Linked DNA regions of Oryzias latipes. The protein of the gene in region 1 purifies or fractionates together with the protein of each later gene. This does not show direct contact. Links are inferred from orthologs where the notes say so. Each region holds a gene or a part of one and is shown in the gene's direction. Other genes may lie near its edges. The genes, in order: cct8 and pdcl3.

The links.
Region 2: the proteins of cct8 (region 1) and pdcl3 purify together in Homo sapiens (affinity purification with mass spectrometry; 3 studies listed by BioGRID and IntAct, with this or other methods). This does not show direct contact. The link is inferred for Oryzias latipes from reciprocal best matches to the Homo sapiens genes CCT8 and PDCL3.

What each region holds. Positions count from the first base shown.
Region 1 is NC_019872.2:12,638,357-12,641,357, reverse strand, and holds the end of cct8 (T-complex protein 1 subunit theta), read left to right. Parts: intron 1-1,189; coding exon 1,190-1,294; 3' UTR 1,295-1,323; intron 1,324-2,111; coding exon of another isoform or gene 2,112-2,183; 3' UTR 2,184-2,344; downstream 2,345-3,001. Other genes in the region: uncharacterized serine/threonine-protein kinase SgK494, read left to right, coding at 2,658-2,687. UniProt on the Homo sapiens protein: Component of the chaperonin-containing T-complex (TRiC), a molecular chaperone complex that assists the folding of actin, tubulin and other proteins upon ATP hydrolysis.
Region 2 is NC_019879.2:4,242,715-4,245,613, reverse strand, and holds the end of pdcl3 (phosducin-like protein 3), read left to right. Parts: intron 1-1,023; coding exon 1,024-1,232; intron 1,233-1,714; coding exon 1,715-1,863; 3' UTR 1,864-2,244; downstream 2,245-2,899. UniProt on the Homo sapiens protein: Acts as a chaperone for the angiogenic VEGF receptor KDR/VEGFR2, increasing its abundance by inhibiting its ubiquitination and degradation.

The sequences.
Region 1 (3,001 bases):
ATCTTAACATTGTGATCATTAAATAAAACGACTTTTACCATTTTATTATAATAAAAGCTGTAATAATATTCAGGTAGAGTTAGGCCTGCACAAATTTATCATTTTCGCCACATCAAGCTGTGCAATATGCATACCGTAAAAGATGTCAAAAATCGCAATAAATGTTTACCTTAAATGTGCTAAAACAAACTCATGGCAGCTTGAAATATTAAACAAATGAAATAAATCCCTTTATACATTTAACCAATTAGAAGGACCCGTTTACGTTGTTGATCAATCAGATGAGCCCTTTTATGTTTGATGTTTGCCTCCTACGTCGACAAGGGTCATTTGGAGTATAATTTCTAAACTGTTTCAGTGAAATGGAAATTATGTTTTTTTTTTTTTTTGCTATTTGTTTATTTACCGCAATTTATATCGTTATCACAATATTAATTACCAATATCGCATATCGCGAGTTTTCCTCATATCGTGCAGCCCTAGGTAGAGTTTTTTTCAGTCGTAATGTTAAAAACACAGAAAATGTGTTCTGCTACTATATTGCGATATGTATTTTATCATAGGACATGTAACGGTATACGTATCGTAGCTCCAGACACTTGGGATACACACCCCTAGTCTAAGAGAACATCACACTTCTGATAAAGAAAGAAGTTCCTCGTTTGCCCTAGTTTTTTATTTTTGAGTGCAACAAGACATTACATAAAACATTTTTTTTACCTTTCATCAAAAACCTGAAAATGGCATGTTCTAAAACTTGACCAGTAGTTTACTTGAGTGAGATTTCCTTCTCATCCAATGGAGAAAACAAACCTATAACAGGAAATGATGAACTAACTAGATATGAAGGATAAAGTCACATCCAGAATTCTACATGTGACACTATTGGTTCCTGCTATTTGATGTAGCTTTTTTGAACAAACTCATGATTGTAAAGTAGTGGATGATCTAGATGTTTGTGTAGGAGAACGTGGCCATAACATAGAACAGAGAATAAAAGCAGAAATTCATGCTGGACATTGTGAAATTCAGGGCATCACTGCAGCCTGTTAATTGAAGCTTTGTAAAATGGCCATCAACATTTTAGAATCCAAGATGCAGTAAGCCGGTCATAATAAAAACATGGCATTCAGTGGAAACAACAAAAACCAGCAAATATTAAGTGTGTGTTTGTGTGTGCGCAACCCAGATCATCATGGCTAAGCCTGCAGGGGGACCCAAAACTCCCAAGCAGAGAGGCCATTGGGACAAGGATGGTTGGGACGAAGAGCCTGATCATTTTGACACCCATTAGCGGGCTCTCGCGCACACAGAGCCCCCGCAGTAGGTCTCGGAACGTGTGTGCACTTCTAACTAAAGACTGCAGATGAACTCAAAGGACACTAAATGCAAAACAACAGATCTGTCACTACTAACGACAAACTCTGCAGAGATGCAAACAATTTTGAGATTCACTTTTTCTAGTACTTCTAACAACACGGCGTGTGTCACTGTGATGCAGCATGAAACAAACTGGATGTTGCGTGATTGCATGATGCATGTAATCCTTTTTCTTTCAGTGGACATCCTCAAGAGGTATTGTGTTTGTTTGTTCTTGGAAACTTGTAAAGAAGACTAGAAAAACAGATTTTATTGCCCAACTTGTTCATTTCTTGTGGTGCAAAGTTTTCTAGAGAAAACATTTTAGGTCCCACTCAGATCATCTTTTGATCTATTTTTAAAGCGTCCCCAGTGTCTTTTAGAGTATAATTATGCCCTTTTTCTTTTCTTTTTTTTGGCAAAATAAAAAAAATCTGCCATTTTCTTGGGCATTTTTGGCAGAGCAGCCATAGTTCATCAGAAATTTACGTCTTGAGTTGCAGACAGAACTTGGTTCGGAGTGAGCCAATTTTAGGCTTAATTTCCTTACTATATTTTGTAGACTTATTGGGTGGAATTTGCAGTCATTTGAACCAAATTTTCCCCTGTCACATGCATTTCTAGTACTTTTCATTAGAATTCTTTTCTAACTTTAATGGGTGTTGTTGTCTGACCATGTTATTTTTTGAGTTGCATGGATTTGTCTTTTATTTCTTCTGGTAGGAATTATTTTTATTTTCATTTTCTTTCAGATCATCATGGCTAAACCAGCAGGCGGCCCCAAACCTCCAGAGGGCAAGAAGAACTTTGACGACGACGACTAAAGCCAACGCTCTACTCACCCACGTTTTCTACCTGTTTATTTAAAGCTCAGTTTTCTTTTATTTTGTAGGAACTGCATTGGTTGACAAAGTAAAACCACGAAAGTAAACATCGCCCTGCTTTTTATGTTCAAAGTTCAAAATAAAAGGCACTCGTGTTATCAGAGGGGAGTTTTTTTTAATTGCTTTATATTGCAGCTGCTGTCCAGCAGGGGGAGCTGAAGTCCAGGAGTCCTGGTAAATGTGTGCGGATTTACGCTGACGTTGCCCATAAAAGGGATTATCCTGTTTTGTTTTTATCGCCATCCCACGTTTTGCATCGAATCTCAGCTGCTGAACTAAATGAATATTGCACACAAAATTCGTATCTGCGTGTGATGTGTAAATGAAAGGGGAAGAGGGGGCGGCGATGTCCCGCGCGGAGTCACTGGTGAGGAGCAAACCGACCTTCCAGCCTGATGCTCGGTCACGCTAATAATGGGGGCCGACGGTAGTAAAAGCAAGAAGGTGAGTTGGATGAAAACCCTGGTTGCTTAGAGGTGACGCGCATATGGGGTTCTCTGTTTCCATGGCAATGATTCAGGTGAAATTGAAAAGGGGGTTACAGCAGACTTTTAAAAAAAAATATGTACGAATTTTGTTGCAGACCATCTTGACTTTAGTTTCGCAGGAGGTTCGCTATGAATTAAGATAGCAAGTGTCACCAGCGCACGCTGACATCAGGAGGAATGATATCTTTATTAGTACTTTTATTTTGAAGAATTTGCATGCTTCCGGTTTTCTGCAATTATTTGTTATTTAAACTGAGAAATCCTCCATTT
Region 2 (2,899 bases), on another chromosome or scaffold:
TGTGTTTTTAAAAAGGCAGCTGGAGCAAAACTGAGTTGGTTGTGATTTATTTTTACATTTTTTCCGTCCTCAATCAGCATCCAAAAATCCATCAAAGTCCTCATCTTCTGTATCCTAAATGAACAGCTGGGCTACATTTCTATCAAACACGCCAGCTTCCCGTCTGTCATCGTCAGAGTCCGTCTCAGTTGCCAGTCTCAGTTCTTTCAGAGGAACATTCTTTATTTCTTTTCTCAACTCCAAAACGTTGACTGACCGCGCTGTATGCGCTCCACAAACACCCACACTCATCCCTCAACACTCGTTAGCCCAAGCATCTACAATCCATTCACAAATTGTGGTGTAACTCGCCCAGCGCTTCCTCCCAGTCTTAGTAAAAGTGTGACAGCTTGCTGTTTAAACTGATATGAGTGTATCTCTTTGCATTTTCAGGGTTACCAAAACGATGCTGTTCTGCTTAATGCACATGCCTTTTGCACATGCATTTTTGTACTATTCGGGGGGGGGGGGTCTTCTTTCACGTCCTCACTGCCCTCCTTACTGTTCTCATGCTGTCCTCTTCTCCGTCCTCTTTACCAAAGGGCGCTCCATACATTTCGGAGAAAATTTACGACTTTTAAGTAAGGCGCCCCGTAGTCGTAAAAATACAGTATTTTAGTGCGAGCCTTCAATGATGTTCCTGCTTCGCATCCAAACTCTACCTAAACCTCACAGATGGCTGCAACATTTGGAAAAAAATCTTCAAAGCTCCAGCTAACATAAGTCTTTAAATAATAATAACCCTCTTTTTTACCACCCATTATGTGTTAAAACTGTTTTAGAAACTAAATGCTCAAACATCTTTTCAATTTTGCATCGTTGTTGTTTTTGGGAATCATTATATTGACAGTAAAGTGATATTAGACGTTGATCTTTTTATCCAATTATGAATAAAATTCTGCATCTAAACAGCATTTTTTTCCTTTTTTTTAAAATTGTGTTCAACATTAAAGCAACCTTTTCTTCTTTTTTTTTCTCCCCCAGCATCCCCCTCTGCACCCTCATCAATCAGCACCTGAACATGCTGGCCCGAAAATTTCCCCAGACAAAGTTCCTCAAGTCCATCTCCACCACTTGCATCCCAAACTACCCCGACCGCAACCTGCCCACTATATTCGTCTACTTTGAAGGGGAGATGAAGGCGCAGTTCATCGGTCCTCTGGTGTTTGGAGGCATGAACCTCAAAGTGGAAGGTAAGCAGTAGCTAAAACACTGCCACAGCTCTCATCAATGGTTATTTCCAAATATTTCTCAGAATATTGTTTGTGTGTGAGCCTTTAGTGGGATGTCAAACATCTGTGAATAATACTCACCGCTTTGGTGATTATGCTAATTGTCATGTCAGTTTTTCTAAATAAAGTTTTAAAGACTTTTGGGTTTTGTAACCTTAGTTTGGGATTTTGCCAAATGTCCTTTTAACGTTTGGCAACTTGGTTTATTTCAAAAAAGTGTCCTTAAATATGATTCTCATTATTTTAGGACATGTTCAATTTAAATGTGGATAATTCTAGAACATTTGTTTGTCTTGCTTTTTACGCAGAAAATGCGTTTAGACTTTGTTCATGTTTATTATTCATTCACTTTGTAATCCATTTGTTCCCTTTCGGGGTCACCGGAGTCTATCCCGTGACATGTCCCATCACATGTTTATTATGTTTTTTTGTAATTCATCCAGAGCTGGAGTGGAGGCTTTCTGAATCCGGGGCGGTGAAGACAGAATTGGAGGAGAACCCGAGGAAACAAATAGAAGACAAGTTGATGTCATCAATCAGGAACTCGCTTCCTACACGGAAGGACGGTGACTCTGAGGAGGACGACGAATAAGCGGGAAAGAGTCGTGAAACAAACCAGAGGGAACCGCATGGGGTTTGGCAGCATTGGAGCAGAGGCGAAAGGGCGTGGCCTTCACCATGGAGTTCATATTTCTAACTGTAGGTGGCGATCAACCTGCTCTAAGGCACTTGTTGAGAGAGTCCCCGTGTTGCCAAATTTCTCCTCTCGTGTTTGTCAGTACACTTTGTCGTAAACATGTGCTGAGAGAGCCACCAAACATAAATTGTCATTTTTTTTTAATAACATGACAGTTTTGTCACAAAAAAATATACATTAACATTGAATTCACCTTTTCTTTGCCTTAATTATATTTTTCCTAAATGCTCTTTATTTGGTATCACTGCTGATTATAAAGGACTTGCTGAAAAATTATTTACAACTTGTGTTTTGTCGCCAATCTCATTTCAAGGCAGCGCTACCAGAGTCTTCCTCATTGCTACAACTGTGGCGTTAGGAAGCATGAACACGCATGGCAGTCATGGCAGTGCAGTTCTGTTTTGTTTTTTTCCATCTTTACACACAATTTATTAAGGAAAAGTTGTTTCCATCTGGAAGGAGGAGCCGGAGATGCTGCATATGGCTTGTCTTCAGTTGATCATCCAGCTGCTTTTCTTCAAAAATAATCTCGCTTTCGATTTTTTTTTTTTTTTTCTTTTCCTTACAACATCCCCTCCGGCAGGCCTCGAATCTTCTGTTTAATTAAAAAGAGTGGAAAAAGATTAGTCTGCGCACCAAGTGAACACATTCAGTGATGGCTTTTTAAGTGATGTGTAAAGCTTAGACGTAATTACCCTTTTCTACCTGAAAAGGTGGCAAAGAGCAATAGTGTCAAGTCTGTAGGGTGAAAGCTATTCATAATTTCTCCATATTTCTTTTTATTAATCAATTAAGGTCAAATATGAGGAAATTTCACAAATTTCATACAAGGGGTGGAGGAATTTGAAGAAAAAAGAAAAGAAATTGAAGTTCTAAAAGTAAAACTGGAGCATTTAAAGGTGAGTCTAAATTCTGAATAGTTTATTTTCAA